4 linked regions of the Daphnia pulex genome follow. The protein of the gene in region 3 binds, or shares a complex with, the protein of the main gene of each other region. Links are inferred from orthologs where the notes say so. Each region holds a gene or a part of one and is shown on either strand. Other genes may lie near its edges. The genes, in order: eukaryotic translation initiation factor 3 subunit J-like, eukaryotic translation initiation factor 3 subunit I-like, eukaryotic translation initiation factor 3 subunit A-like and eukaryotic translation initiation factor 3 subunit D-like.

What was found.
Region 1: eukaryotic translation initiation factor 3 subunit A-like (region 3) and eukaryotic translation initiation factor 3 subunit J-like share a complex: the UniProt entries of both Drosophila melanogaster proteins name them as parts of the eukaryotic translation initiation factor 3 (eIF-3) complex. The link is inferred for Daphnia pulex from reciprocal best matches to the Drosophila melanogaster genes eIF3a and eIF3j.
Region 2: eukaryotic translation initiation factor 3 subunit A-like (region 3) and eukaryotic translation initiation factor 3 subunit I-like share a complex: the UniProt entries of both Drosophila melanogaster proteins name them as parts of the eukaryotic translation initiation factor 3 (eIF-3) complex. The link is inferred for Daphnia pulex from reciprocal best matches to the Drosophila melanogaster genes eIF3a and eIF3i.
Region 4: eukaryotic translation initiation factor 3 subunit A-like (region 3) and eukaryotic translation initiation factor 3 subunit D-like share a complex: the UniProt entries of both Drosophila melanogaster proteins name them as parts of the eukaryotic translation initiation factor 3 (eIF-3) complex. The link is inferred for Daphnia pulex from reciprocal best matches to the Drosophila melanogaster genes eIF3a and eIF3d1.

Annotation. Positions count from the first base shown.
Region 1 is NC_060019.1:7,843,349-7,846,585, forward strand, and holds eukaryotic translation initiation factor 3 subunit J-like, read right to left. Parts: upstream 2,005-3,237; 5' UTR 1,940-2,004; coding exon 1,918-1,939; intron 1,785-1,917; coding exon 1,690-1,784; intron 1,446-1,689; coding exon 1,386-1,445; intron 1,323-1,385; coding exon 1,130-1,322; intron 1,042-1,129; coding exon 871-1,041; intron 808-870; coding exon 617-807; 3' UTR 543-616; downstream 1-542. Other genes in the region: secretory carrier-associated membrane protein 2-like, read left to right, coding at 2,346-2,402, 2,572-2,679, 2,739-2,840, 2,901-2,982, 3,049-3,177. UniProt on the Drosophila melanogaster protein: Component of the eukaryotic translation initiation factor 3 (eIF-3) complex, which is involved in protein synthesis of a specialized repertoire of mRNAs and, together with other initiation factors, stimulates binding of mRNA and methionyl-tRNAi to the 40S ribosome.
Region 2 is NC_060019.1:6,193,264-6,196,645, forward strand, and holds eukaryotic translation initiation factor 3 subunit I-like, read right to left. Parts: upstream 2,061-3,382; 5' UTR 1,914-2,060; coding exon 1,911-1,913; intron 1,845-1,910; coding exon 1,598-1,844; intron 1,532-1,597; coding exon 1,249-1,531; intron 1,183-1,248; coding exon 981-1,182; intron 916-980; coding exon 667-915; 3' UTR 529-666; downstream 1-528. Other genes in the region: regulator of telomere elongation helicase 1 homolog, read left to right, coding at 2,336-2,437, 2,504-2,794, 2,879-3,205, 3,277-3,382. UniProt on the Drosophila melanogaster protein: Component of the eukaryotic translation initiation factor 3 (eIF-3) complex, which is involved in protein synthesis of a specialized repertoire of mRNAs and, together with other initiation factors, stimulates binding of mRNA and methionyl-tRNAi to the 40S ribosome.
Region 3 is NC_060026.1:6,108,701-6,113,074, reverse strand, and holds the start of eukaryotic translation initiation factor 3 subunit A-like, read right to left. Parts: upstream 2,803-4,374; 5' UTR 2,361-2,802; coding exon 2,312-2,360; intron 2,192-2,311; coding exon 1,992-2,191; intron 1,927-1,991; coding exon 1,778-1,926; intron 1,717-1,777; coding exon 1,482-1,716; intron 1,414-1,481; coding exon 505-1,413; intron 412-504; coding exon 265-411; intron 208-264; coding exon 1-207. Other genes in the region: zinc finger protein jing-like, read left to right, coding at 3,592-4,034. UniProt on the Drosophila melanogaster protein: RNA-binding component of the eukaryotic translation initiation factor 3 (eIF-3) complex, which is involved in protein synthesis of a specialized repertoire of mRNAs and, together with other initiation factors, stimulates binding of mRNA and methionyl-tRNAi to the 40S ribosome.
Region 4 is NC_060023.1:3,616,111-3,620,070, forward strand, and holds eukaryotic translation initiation factor 3 subunit D-like, read right to left. Parts: upstream 2,801-3,960; 5' UTR 2,655-2,800; coding exon 2,547-2,654; intron 2,487-2,546; coding exon 2,234-2,486; intron 2,177-2,233; coding exon 2,109-2,176; intron 2,050-2,108; coding exon 1,922-2,049; intron 1,851-1,921; coding exon 1,718-1,850; intron 1,654-1,717; coding exon 1,506-1,653; intron 1,445-1,505; coding exon 1,320-1,444; intron 1,256-1,319; coding exon 1,043-1,255; intron 984-1,042; coding exon 841-983; intron 782-840; coding exon 513-781; intron 191-512; exon of another isoform or gene 149-190; coding exon 138-148; 3' UTR 27-137; downstream 1-26. Other genes in the region: L-allo-threonine aldolase-like, read left to right, coding at 1-25; cytochrome b-c1 complex subunit 2, mitochondrial-like, read right to left, coding at 3,516-3,955. UniProt on the Drosophila melanogaster protein: mRNA cap-binding component of the eukaryotic translation initiation factor 3 (eIF-3) complex, which is involved in protein synthesis of a specialized repertoire of mRNAs and, together with other initiation factors, stimulates binding of mRNA and methionyl-tRNAi to the 40S ribosome.

The sequences.
Region 1 (3,237 bases), on a different chromosome or scaffold from region 3:
TCTATCACTCCAGAAATTCATTAACGAACTTTCTCACAGTGAAACGCCATATAACGAGTTAGAAGTATCGACCAAACAACCACTTTTATGCCACTACTAGTCTGCTACTCAGCAGGAAACGCACGTGCTTCATTTATTGATTAGGCATGCAGCCGGCTGCCACGGCAACGATTTCCATTACATTTTAAAAACAAAACCCCCCTAATCCCCTCTCTTACGCCCACTGGGTATCAAATAAGGATTCACCAGTATACAAATTTGCGGGGTACTCAAAACTCAAATTTAAAAAAATAAATATTGAAAGTTATTTGCTTACTTTTGACAGTGTGTAGCATTCAATGGGACAAATACATCTAACTACATCTAACTTTACAACTGTCACCATCTCCTTTTTTGACGCTAAAAGTAGAAAACTGGAACGTCTAAGAAAATATGCAACTTAACTCTATATATTGAATTAGAATAATTAAGAGGGAGGTTTTAACTTTTAACAGAAATTCAATCTCAATATATCTTAAAACACTGAAAAAACTGACAAGAGCAAAATGGCAAAATCATACATTTATTTTACCAATAAACCTTTTCCCGCCAAAAACAAAAGAAAAACAATTGGACCCTACATGAAGTCGTCATAGTCTCCTCCTCCGAAATCATCACCGAAGTTGTCGACCATTCCTTTGTCCATTTTTAAAGCAACTTTTGTTTTTCCTTTCTTTCCACCTTTTGTCGCCGCCTTCACCATCTTGAGTTTTTCTTCGTGCAAGGATTTGGTAGTTAGACTAACTTTTCTAAGGACTTCGACTTCCACTATGTTGAAAAACTGGGATGTAGAAAAGTTTTTAGCAACCAACATTAGAAAATGTGACTTACATCCAATGCAAACATCTTTAATGAAGTCCTCTATAAAATCATTATAGCACGCTTTAGTTGACAATGACTGAAGTTTTTTCACCAAGTTGTTCTTGAATTCTGAGAATTCCTCTTTAGATGAAGGGTTTGCTTCATCTATGCTTCCCTCTGTAGGCAAACTACCAGTAATTCCTGGAAAATAAAAATAACATTGAGAACAAAATATAAAACAAATCATGCTTAGTGCAGGTCAGCAATACAGTTTCCTAAGACAACTTACCAAAGGTTTCCTTGGCCATTTCAAAATCTGATTCTTCAACTAGTTTTTGTCTCCGAAGCTTTTCTGCTATTCTCTCTTCAGGTGTCATGTTTGCTTCCTGCAATATTTTTCTGGCTTCAGCTTCTTCTCTGCTTTTCTTTTCTTTTTCGGCTATTTTTTCTTCTAATCTTTTACTTGACTTTTTTTTGGTAGCCTGAAAGTAACAAACACATTTTAAATTTTTTGGATACTTTTACGAGAGATCACATGTACTTACTGTGGCTGCTGCTTTGACTTCAGCAGGCTTATTTTCTGTTTCTTCATCTTCCCAGCTATCCTATCATTTATAAACAAGAAAAAATGATAATTTTGAAATCAATCACAACTTTATGTAAAACTCATTGAGCAATAAGAATTTTTTGGCAAAAGAAGACACATGGTAGTCAAGTGAAAGTTGTAAGAATTGGAGCAGAAATAGAAAGGTACTGAGAGAACTTTTTTTCACTACAAGCGCTACAAGGTTCTACCAAATTTGTAGATATACTTACTACTAATATCATCACAATTGAATTACAACTCACCTTGACAGGTTCATCTTCATCCTCACCTTCCCATTTATCTGAAATTATGGCAGTCGTAACTGGAACAGGGACAGAGGGTTCAAAATCTTCGGCATCTATAATCACCACAAAATCGTATTTGATTAGAGTATACGATTAAATGGAACTTTGATATGCACTATTGAGAATTTCATACAAAAAACAGGTGGAATTGAATAACTTAATATAGAAATAATTAAATAAAATCACCCCAATCCGCCTCGGCCTCCATCTTCAACGAAAAATCGTGAACACACTAGTGTCCATGGCAGTTGCCAAATGCTTTCACTTTTCTAATAATGTTAATATGTGCATTACAAAATATTAAATATAGAAACCTAACAATAATTAAATTTTGAAACTTTATTGCAAACCTTTTATTATGAATTATTTAATTTTTTTTACCTGAGATATCTCGTTAATCCCAGCGTTGCTTAGTCTAGTGTTTCTGTCTTCCAGAGGCGCTAGTGTTTGCCTGTTTCCGAACTGCTTTTCTCTGACATTACCTGTTATTTAGCAATTGATAGGAGTTTCTGTCTGTATTAGTTGAGTTGACGTTTCACGGTGACCGTCGAAACAAAAGTTACCGCAAATTGGAGTAACAAAGTGACCGAAGTTAAAAAAAGAAATATTTGATAATGTCTGGATTTGATCAGAATCCTTTTGCAGAACCGGCTGTTTTCAACCCGTTTGCGGTAGATTATTTATAATATGTATATTATACTTACTATTACCATACTAATACCTTGGTTGAAAACTGGTGATTCATGGAGTACTCGCCGCATACAATATGAAAGAAAACCTTTTGAAAAATCACCTTGTTTATTAGTTTAGTGGTAAAGTGGTTGTTTACTTTCACAATAGGATCCATCTGTCCAGCAAGCTGCAGGAAACAATGCTGCGAGAGCTCAGCAAGGTCTTGAAGAATACAACCCTTTTGATGGTAGTAATCAAACTACCAGAGTTTCAATGGTAAAACATAATTTTATCATGAAAGTGGGAAGTGTGTTTGATTTGTTACAAAATTTAAGGACCGTGTTGGTGGAGCCAATCCACCCCCAACAATTCAAGCTGCCCCAGTGATATCTCCAGGACCACAACAACAAGCAGCTATGTCAAATGCGGATTTTCAAGTATTAAAACTTAAAAAGAAAGAAGGAAATCTTTATTCATTATATTGCATGGTTTTATAGAGACGTCAAGAAGAACTAGAGAAGAAAGCTCAAGAATTGCAGAGGCGAGAAGAAGAATTAAAGAATAATGTACCATTCAACTGTAGGAGAGAACAAATTTAAATGAAACTTTACTTTTTAATTTCTGTTATTTACTTCTTCATTACAGCTCAGCGCAATAATTGGCCACCACTGCCTGACAAGTTTTGTGTCCAACCATGCTTCTATCAAGACATCAATGTGGAAATCCCACTTGAATTTCAAAAAATTGTCCGCATGTTATACTATATTTGGATGCGTAAGTTAAACATATCATAGATTTCTTGTTTAAGTTTATTTTTGTTATCAGAAACTTTTA
Region 2 (3,382 bases), on a different chromosome or scaffold from region 3:
ATCAAGTTGAACATCGTATTTGTAAAGTTCGGATATCTGGCTAATACATCCGGTTGAAAATGAGCCAGCGAACCGATAAATTTCATAAGCCCGGGAACGAGCAGGCGAGGCAAGAGGATCTGCAGGAGCCTCGTCCAAATTACCGGCGAGCTTCTCAATGATTCCTTGTCGCTCGAGATAGTCCCGACCATGTTGGCAAGACGCTAGAGTCGTAATAAGTTCCAATGCGTTCAGCTGGGACAAGAATGTCTCCCATTAAAACTTCTACCAGAAGGAAACTGATGAGCTCTTTCTCTTCGCAAAATGCCAAGTTTTCTTGGGATGCGCAACAGTAGGTGATTAGAATATCGTAAACCCTGTAATGGACTTCGTCAGAAGAAAAAGATTTCAAAAGAATTGTTTGTAAACAATATCAGTTATGTTTTCTCCTCTTAAACAGGCGACTCGAACCTGTTTGTATACGCTTAATTTCGTCTCGTGCCCTCTCTTGAGAAATAAATTTTCCCCCCAAAAAAGATTCTCACTCGAGACCTTTCCAACATGATGTATTCAAATACCTTCTCTTATATCGCCCATGTACACGAAAGTGGTCAAAAAATAAACACAAGACAAGTGTTCATAGATGATGGATTGGGTTCTTCGTAGGTTTTTCGCTTTTCTTCTGGTTTAGTAATCGAATTTAAAGTCAAAGTAAGACTGGTCGAATTGATTCAAACGAACGTAACCATCTTCACCACCACTGGCGTACGTCTTTCCGTCGGGATGGAAGGCCAGAGAATTGATAGGACCGAAATGGCCCTTGACACGAGCGAATTCTTCTTCGAAAACCAGATGGAAGAAACGGGCGTCGAACTTGCCGACACGCGTTGAGGTCGTCGTTACGTCCATGGCATCTTGACCACCTCCCAACACCACCTGAAGATTGAAGGAAAACAGTTAGAATCGATCAACTGAATCATTTAGAAGCTCAAGGATCATACGTGATCCATGATGGGTGAGATGGCGGCACTGTTGACGGGTCGCTCAGTTTTGTAAGTTTTTAGGCACTCTAACGTTTCGGCGTTAAAGAGTTTTGCAGTGCAATCCTTGGATGCAGTGATGAGGAGAGCTCCGTCTTTGGACAGCTGCATGTCGTTGATAGACTTGGCGTGTTCTGAAACCAGGTTGTTCTTCTTGCCAGTTCTGTAGTATAAATAATAAACAGGATTTAGTTTTAAGCACTCAAGGTTACGACAATGTCATTCTCACCTGAGGTCCCATTGGGCCAAGTCACCATTGTCGTGACCAGAAATAACAACCTCATCTAGATTACCCCAAACCATTGATGTGGCTTTAGGGGCATTAGTTAATGGAATTCGCAGGATGGGGTCATTTTCACTGAAGGAAGAGTCAACCGTTCTGACATCAATGATGAAGATCTCTGAAGGGTTACCCATAGTACTGTCTGTTGAGTAAAGGGCCATGTTTCCACTGTAACTGAAGTTGCATGTACGAACTGAAGTCTTGGCTTCAATTTTACCCAAAGCCTTGCCTAAAAAAAAACAAAGAAAAGTTTAAGTCGTAATTACGCAATGGGGTCATTTCTCACTGAACATACCAGTTTGGACATCCCAGATCATGAGCATATTATCACCAGCACCAGACATGAAACGTTTAGTTTCCCAATCAACATCAATCGCCCATACGACACCCTGATGTCCCTCGTAGGTACCCAATCGTTCTCCATTGACTGAATACCAGACACAAGGGTGGTTGTCCTTGGCTGACGAGAAGAGCAAATCTCCATCCCGGTTGTACTTAATTTGCGTGATTGAACGCTCGTGACCGTGAAGCATAAGAGGTTTCTGTGATCAACAATAACAGTGGATTAATATAATGAAATTAAATAACAGAAATGCACTGAAAATTACCATTTTTGTTTATATTAATTGGTCACAACTGTAATAATGACGTACACTTCTTTCGGCGTGGGGCGACTGAGGCCTTTCGACGTTTTTACAACACTCGTCTGCCGGCCCTGCTCGATTTTACAGTGTTGCCACCCACCCACCAAAAAACGAACCATCTTTAATCTTATCAAAACTGTTAAACTTTATACAAAAAAAAAAAAAATTAATTTTTATTCTTTAATCACGCGTAACGTTAAAATGACACTAGCAAAAATAATTTTACTTTTCGATTTGTTTCAGAGGGCGCTACTCGCTAGGGAAGTTAAAGCAGTTTTAACATCGTCTGCTATTCTCATTCAACTATTTTGGCGGGTTCCCTCACATTGCGTGTTCCTTCACATTGCGTGTGTCTCGTGGAACACAATTACCAAAATTATTTATCTAGAATGGTGAATTTGGTTTTAAATAATGTTCCCATTGAATTTCCATTCCAGCCTTATGATGTACAAGAGAAATTCATGGAGCGTGTGATAGAATGTCTTCAAAAAGTAACTAGTGTTGCGTTATCGGTCAGTGGACACCTTGCTCTTATTTTGTTATTCTTGATTAAATAGGGTGTAAATGGTTTGTTGGAATCTCCTACTGGCACAGGAAAAACTTTGTGCTTACTTTGTTCGACATTGGGTTGGTTAGCAACACGAAAAGCACAAATACAGTCTGGTCAATTAGCTGGAGATATGGGAGTGGATATTAAAAATCAATTAAGTAATGCAACTGGGCTTGGATGGGGAGATGCTGCTACTCCTGGAGCTGGAGTACCCAAAATCATTTATGCATCCAGAACTCATTCTCAGCTCAGCCAGGTCATTTCTGAATTAAAACGGTCCTCTTACAGATATATGAAGGTGAGCATTTCCTTCTTCCATTAAAGCTATTTGCCTACATGAAATGGGTTTTGATAACCCTTATTTTATTTTTCTTCATTTAAGGTATGCATCCTTGGATCTCGTGACCAACTGTGCATTCATCCAGAAGTGTCAAAGGAAACAAACAATGCTGTAAAGCTTCACATGTGCCATGCTAGAACTACTACTCGTACTTGCTACTTCCACACAAATCTAGATGCTAAGAAAGAGGAACCAGACTTCAAAATGGATGTATTGGATATTGAAGACTTGGTGACTTTGGGGAAAAAACATTCTGCTTGCCCTTATTTTATGACAAAAGAAATTCGTAAGGTAGCTGACATCATCTTTATGCCATACAACTACCTTCTTGATCCTAAAGTGAGAAAAATTCACAACATTGAACTCCAGGTAATTCCCAGTACATTTAGTAGTCTTTAAAGGTGCATGAAATATTAACTTCTTTTTTTGTGCTTGTTTAGGGAAATATTGTTATATTTGATGAGGCCCACAATGTTGAGAAAATGTGTGAAGAATCTTCATCTATTGAACTTAGAAGTTTAGATATAGCCCTTTGTGTTGATGAAG
Region 3 (4,374 bases):
TTGGCGAAGTTCTGCTTCTTGACGAAGCCTCTCTCGTTCTTGTCGCTCAGCTTCAAGACGGCGTTGTTCTGCTAGCAACTGCTGCCTTATCAGCTCCTCCTGACGACGACCTTCTTCTTCTTCACGTTCAGTATTCAATTTTTCAAGGTATTCCTTGCGATCTTCAATAATCTTTTGACGGCTAAGAAGTTGGTGGTGGTCTCTAGCCTAAAATAATCACATTAAACAAATTGCTAACAACGTAACGAATGGAGTTATAATTACTTTATTTTGATGATAAAGTGCAGCGATCTGGACTTTCAACTGTCTTTCTTCTTTAGTAGGAGCATTACCAACAACAGCAATTGTCGCTTTGTTGAGAACGCAGTACATTGTAATCAAATGCGTACGTATCTGTTCAGAAGGCATAGCCTAGAAAAGTTATAAAATCAGAAAGAATTAAAAAAAACACAAAAAAAAGATAAAGCTAACATTTCATTGGTCATGACTTTTTAACATTTCTACCTGTAGAGTCGGTCCTTCTGGTAAATCTTCGCGTTGAGCTTCAAATAATTCAGTGCCGAAGTGAAGACAATTGTTACGGTGATCAATCCTTATTTGCATATCGGTATGACGGACTGCATTAACAACAATGCGTTCCAAGTCAAATGGAGATGCAAAGGGAGCCAATTGCACCAAACGTTCGAATCGGATAGTCGAGTAGAGCTGGGCTATTTGCTTTACCAATCTGGTAAGCGTGATTTCTTCCAAGGCATGAATATATTGGTTCAAATAAGATGTCTCTTCGACTTCGGCCATAAACGCTAGAATGTTCTTGACTTTGTTACATAAATGTAATGGGTCGAACTCTACCTCCAAGAAATGATACAACTGCTGCAACTGAGGCATTGCAGTAGCTACCACACCAAGGCGAACCAAATCTTTAATCAATCCATTACGTGTAGGAGGCTGATTCAAATGAAGAAGAGTAGCTAGTTTTTGCGTTTTTTCCATAGCACTTTTCTCGGTTTCAATGAAACGATCAAATTCAGGGTGTGCAGAGGGTAATGGTACTGCTAAAGTTGCAACAAGTACGCGCGATCCAAGTTTTTGAAGTTCTTCAGTCGTAATATTTTTTTTCAAGTCCCGTGACAGTTGGAAAAGCCGAAACAGAGCTGCAGCGTGGAACAAATGATTTCCAGACTTTCCGAAAACGAGGGCAATTTTCTGATAGTATTGAGCCATTTGTTGAGGACGGGGCATTTTCTTAGCCAATATCATTAATCCGTGAATGTCTTCAATGGCTTTATATGCTTCTTGCCACAACTCCATTTGAATGGCGAAATCAAGTTGCAAGAGTCTGGTTTCCAAATTCATTTGTTGAGTCTCAGGATTACTCAAATTAACAGCAGTTACAGATGGGGTTCCTTTCACCTATGATATAAATATTGTCTTTTAACACATTTCTAAACAAATAATAATTTAAAAAATAATTTTCTTACCATCAAAGCAAGATGAGACCTTAGATTCTCGCAGAGCTTACGAAACTCGGTTTTCCGAGCATACTTCAGACAAAACTTGAAGGCATGTTGAGCAGTATCATGGTACAGTTTCTCAACCCTTGAATTAGTTCGAAGCAACTCTAAACACTGTCTGTATGACTCCCAAAGAAATTTGACCCATGGAGTCAAAATCACACGGTCAGACCTGTCTTGGGCATCTTCTCCACTGACAGCACTGAGCACAAAGAAATCATGATAACATAATCAACCAGAAAAAAATGCAATGAATTGACTACCTCAGAAGTATACTTTCAGGAGTAGCAACATTGTCCAGATCATCAATATCCACAACAGCTTGATGGGATTCTTGACGTGCTGCTTCTGTTTTTTCCTCAGCTAAATTAAGGTAGAATCGTACAACATTTTCTAATGATGCAACATTTACCTGTAAATAAACAACAATCATCATGAGTTTGTTAGAAGGAAAACATGAAACAAGTTAATCCTTACAGATTGACACATGTTACGGTATTGGAACAAGCCTTCCTTAGCCATGTACGCCTTTTTCAAATCCACACAAAGTTCCAAGTATTTGATCATTATGGGTTCTAGCACTTTTTCTGAATAAGTTGTTGACCGATATTTCTTGCTCTTAATAACTTCAGCTAGGGCATCCAAGGCTCGAATAGGTTTCCCCACTTCAATGAACTCTGTAACAGAAGTAACAGCATTTTGTCAATAAGCGAGCGATATAAACCGGTGAACACAACATTTAAGAAATCAACTTGAGTAGTAATTAGTAAAGTACTCGTGAATAACAAAATACAGACCATTTGCTCTTTTGAGTGCATTTTCAGGTCGTTGATAGAAACGCGACATTTTTATATTCTCATAACACGTCGATCAGCAATCAGAACGCTTCTCTTCGCTGGCAATTGCTCAAGCAACGTGGCTGGGGCAAGAAAATGGCCGTCCAAGTTTTTAGACAACTGTGGTTGGGTTTGGTTAACTGGTTAACTATTCAAGCTGACTTCAGCTACGGGCCACAAAGCGCATGGCCCTGCAATGTGTTTGATAGAAATCGTCCCTAGGTTATTCTGCGTTGCCATTTTACAATTCTCAACAACTTTTTCCACAATTAGCAGCAATTAGTAACATATTTGCTTCTTGTTACGAATTGCGAATGTCGATGCCCACCACTACCCATGATGTTGCACCTTAGAATACCCTTTTGTTTTATATTTGGATGTTTTCACATTAAAGATGGTCGGGCTCTCTTTCTAATCTTCATTAATTTTCATCCCCAAACAGGAAAAAAACTTGTGCGTTTTTTCTTAGGTTGTTTGTTTTTCTTGTTAACAAATTTACCAGGTTTGTTCTGGCAGGTTCTGGCAAAATGTCCCATTATTCCAGACATGTAAAATACTTGGTCGAGTGTAAAAAAATAGATGCGTGCAACCCTGGTGTGTACTGAGAACTTTAAGGCCATCAAAATATAGTAGACCAATTGAAAAACAATGGATACAGATTACAGATACAGAACAGGTCTGGACGCATTCAACGGTCAGTTTGTTTTTATAAGATCTGTAATTCTGTATGATTCTTTTCTATTTACATAATGATTGCAATCTTTCAATATTTAGGCAATTCATCAACAATTGGAAATACTTGAAAACTTTTCCGACAGTAGCGCCGGAAGATAGCAAGGCCCTCTATGAGGAATTATCAACATAACACCAGGAGTCCTGTTTCTCAGATGCCTTGAAGTCGCTTGAAGTTGCAGGAAACTCAAACACAGCAATATAGTATTTTGTTATTTTTGTTACTTAATAAAAAAATGCAAAATTTATGGACACACAAAGTTTTTTTTCTTATTCCTCTTTACACTAAATCAATTTAAAGTTAGGAACGAAACGAGATATTAAAAATATTCGCTTTTCGACCGCTAGAGTGCTCTACGCTGGGAGTTTTTTCTCTGTGTGGGGTGGGCATTGTGGATAGTCGAGGTACCCTTAAATCGCGTGTGTGTGTGTGTGTGTGTAGTCTGAAGTGTCAAATAGGGACTGGTTTGTGTAGTCGTGGTAGAGGATTTTTCCTAGCGTCATTCAAGATGGCAGATTCAGCGTTGGAATCAGCAAAGATTGTGACTCTTTCGTATCAATCCAAAGTTAAAGACAACGATGTAAACGATAGTTCTTCTACTACTAACGTGAAAACCCCTGCTTGTGGCAGCTTGCATCCATCGTCACCCAGTCGAATAATGGATGGTGTGGCAACGGGCAACGTGCCGTTAGACAACCAAGCGGCCTCTACAACAAAGAAAACAGCGGATTCTGACAAGAAGAAAAAGAGTAAGATGGCCGATGAGGCTAGAAGCAATTCACGGGCGTATGAAGCAATCCGACTGACTAGTGGTGGTGAAACTCGAGAAATGTCTGTTAACGAACATTTTGATGGTCAACAACGTCGGTCACTCATAACATCGGCTCTCGTCAATGATGAAAAGAAACGTCGGCGCTCAGATAGATACGACAGTTCAGAAAGTTCAGACAGGTCAGTAAATCTAAAAGATAATTAATGAAAGTAACAATAACACAAATGAAATAATTCTCTTTGCAATAACTGGAAGATGAATTCTGTAATTACAACATTGTACCCAATTCTGTGCAATATAGTGTTAATGAAAATTTGGTAAATTTTTTTCATCATTTTCTTAAAATATTAGCTATTTTCGTTTTAATTCGTTTTTTATGGTTAGCGTCACATTCGCATTCCACTAGTTCCAATGTTTGATCTTGAATAGAATGCCATACTTGGAGAATTGATTTGTCTTTAGCTTGTTAGGGTGTTTGTCTGGGGAACTTTTGTTCTTAGCATCCTCTATTTCTGATTC
Region 4 (3,960 bases), on a different chromosome or scaffold from region 3:
AATCAAACAAAGTAAAGCTGTATAAGTAAACTGGAAGCTTCATAAGTGCTTTATTCCATGTAACGATCATTACAAACGTAGTACTGTTGTAGATTGGGGAATTGGTGGAAGAGCTGTTCTTTTGTTTGTATCAGCCGTTACTCGTCTTCTATTCATGTGTAAAAAATAAATACATTATTATTTACCATTTCGTGGTTGACGTTATGAAATCATGCGTTTAATAGCGCCTTTTTTAAAGCTACCTTAAGTCATGTCGCGTATCTAATTAGGTTTTTTTCCCCCAAGAAGCCAAGCACTTCCACTAGTGGTTAGATATTATACATATATACAAAGCTCGAGCTACGAATTCAAGCAAAACGTAACACGGCGTACAAATGCAGGGAAATTTGATTAACTGCTTGGACGTGTTTATTTAATCTTTGCTAGTAAAAAAAAAAGGGAGGCCAACACCCAAGCAAAAAAAGCAAGCCAGCAGTTACACACGCACGTTACGATATTGATTGGTTACAAACCTTCGCCTTCTTCGAAAAATGCTTCATCGTCGCTCTCAAACGTGTTATCGGGCACCTTGTAAAGGCGGATGACGGGCTTGTTAGGATCCTTCACCAACAAATATTTGCCATCCTCTTCCTTCATACACAAATCAATAATACAACGGAGAATGCCCCAAGCATTGTCCATGTTAAGGTTGATTTGCGATGCGAAATCTGACGGGCGGAACTGCTGTGTTCCAAGGATTACATGACGCGATGTATCTCGTAAGTGCATACGGGAAACATATCTGAAGTAAACAATATTAGTTACAATAATATTCGAGGGACAACAGGAGTCTTCACATACCCGAATTTAATCCAATCAGAGTTGGCGAGCAGAGCTTGCACAGTCCATTTTGCTAGCTTGCATGCATTATTCTTCAGCTCGTTGGCCAGAACAGCACCTCGCTGAGTGTCCAGTTTCTGGCGCCATTCGACTCCACCAGACAACTTGAAGTACAAAATCATTTTAAAGACACAGTTTCATTACGAACAGTGAATATGCATACCCTTGAGTCCCATTCATTAAGAGCTTTGATGTTGATAAATTGGTTATCACCAGCCGATCCAACGGTGACAGCGTCATGTTCGCAACGTGCCACCAGAACAACACCCCCATCTAAATCCCATTTACGGTAACGGTAAGCCACCGAGGCAACTTCACCTACTTCATCTTCCGAAATGAAGGGATTAGGCTCATCCAATTTGAATTTTTCTTCTCCCTACAAGATTATGAAACGACAAAATTAGGGATTTATGCCATTTTATAAAACCTATTATAAATACCATCTTCAGGACTTGTTGGGATAAATTATGATTAATAAAGGTCGCTTCTAGTGCCAAATTACGTGGGCTATTGATGCCCTCTTCTTGAGGAGGTTCATTGGATGTTTCGGATACAGTTAGCAGATCTAGGGAAAAGGGAAGATTATAGATCATTGCAAACTCCCTCAGTGGCCAAAAGGTACGTACCAAATTCCGAATCATCACGTTTATCAAAAAACAGTTTGCCACCAACTTTCTGGACGATTATGTCCCAACTATAGTTGGAGCGAATACTGCACATCAAAGTAGCCAAGATGGAATCAGTTGCGTAGACATTACCCTCAGTTTTTGCCAACTAATGAATTTGAGAATTAGCATACTACCACGCGTAAGACTTGAATGTGACTACTGTTTCTTACTTTGCGGATAATGGGGTCATCAGTTGTGGTGACCTTGTGAAAAATACGATCAATTCTTTGCAGTCTTCGTTCATTTTTCACAGTTACGCGGTCGTACTGCTTATCATAAAACTCGAGTTCACCACAAGTAAGTCTGGAAAAATAAAATAATATCATTATTTTAAAATCAGCATGTGAAAGGTTTTAGTTTAAATAGTTGATTACAAATCAGAAGCTTCCTTGCTAAGACGCAGAGAAAGTTTGTTGAGCCTGGGGAAATCCATCTCTTCAATGATTTTCCATGAAGGCTGAACAATAACTGATGATTCACGGTTTTTAACCTGAATTTGGCCCTACAAGTTTTTAAAAAATGAGTATGAGACTGAATAATCGGTAAGGTGAGAAGCTTTACTTGACGAGGTCCTCTATTATTCCACTTGTTCCTAGTCTGTCTCATTCGGTTATCCTTCATCTTGCCACCTTCAAAGAAAATGTATAAACAATCTGTTGCTATTAATTGCTATTTGAACACTTTACCTTTAAGTGGCACAGGCTGAGAATTCCTAAAGTTTTGTCTGCCTCTTGCAAGCCGTTGGTTGCGAAGGAATCTTCCTCTAGCATACATTGGTCTTGGAGTCCTTGCAGTATCCACAAGCTGAAAGCTGTTCTCTTCCTCATCATGCAGATAAGCATACTGGCTTCCACCAGCCCCTCCAGAGTATTTTCCACCACCATACTTGCGGTCTGTAAAGGAATAATTGATGCTGCTTCCACCAGCCCATTCCGACATCTAATAAATTAAACAAAACATCAGAAGAAGTTAATACAAAATTCGGCAATGAAACGTTACCTTCGAGAATGGTTGATATGGCATATCTTTGTAGCGGTCGGGAATACCTAAAGGTCCCCATCCGTCATTATTGTCTTGAGTCGCTGGTGGAACAAAATGCGCCGCCATGTTATACAATTTAACGTGACCTTATGAAAATAACTTTTCAGAATTTAGTCGTAGGCACTTTCTCACTAGACCGGCTGGCTGACAGCTTGCTACAAGTTAGAACATGGTAATCGCCATTTTAGTACCGGATGCTACGTATACCACTGTTGCCATTGTTGAAAATGATGTTTATACCTTTCTGCCGCTTTACTTTTTTCCACTGTTTTCCTAATAATTCCGAATTAGCATATCTTTAATTTCAATCACAAATTTTTAATTTAGACGCAATTATAATAAGATACTGAAGTATGAAAATCTTAAATCAGCTAAAAAATACAAAAAATATAATAAAAAAATGGCCAGAATACTAAATGACTAAATGTATTCTGATCTGGAATATGGTGTTTTTTATAAAATCCCTCCAGAGTCAAGCTCAGACTCAGATGAAGAAATATGTTACATTACTTTAGAAAGTTACACCAGATTGAACGTAAGATCACGGAAACCCCACACTTCATTAAAATATAAGTAAGCCCACTAGAGAGAAATGTTTTTTAATTACATATTATTGTTGTCTTTTCGAAGATAGCACAAATTTTCTTTCGAGAGTAGAGAATCATTACTTTCTCCTCCATGTATCTTCGTTTTTTAAATGAATGACGTATCAATCTTAATTTTGCGAAAGAGGAACATAAAGAGGAATTGTGAGGTAAGATTTTTCAGTATTAGAGTGATTAGAGAAACTGTGGATATTCTGTACAGGGCACGTGTATTCTTTCAGCTCTTAAGAATGATTAACCGTTCGATCTGGATATTTTCTAATGGGCCACTGTGCAAATATAGATATAGACTACATTATAATTCAGAGACCTATTCAAAATTTTATAATTCATCGACAAACGGGACGTTGCTCAGGTTTCCAATGGCAGCGACAGTTAGCTTGGCAGAAGCCAACCGGGAAGCTACAGCGTTGACGTCAGCAATTGAAACATTATCGACAGTAGAAAGAAGATCAGCCCGGTTGAGAAGCGCTTGCAGAGCCAACTCTTCAACTAACACACCAGTGTTCTCTTTGGCCATCAACAAGTCGGCTTTAAGTTGGGCTTTTGCACGGCTCAATTGGCTTTCGTTGACTGAAGCTGATCGCAAAACTTTTGTAGCGGCGGAAACAACTTTGCCGGCATCTGAGGCTGGGGCAGCGGCCACGAACCCAAATAGACCAGCATCGGAGTAGTTCAAATTCAAGGAAGAAACTGCACCAGCACCCAACACTGCTTGGTTTAGTTTTGATCCTGCTCCAGAACCATATTTAACTGGGATTCCTAGA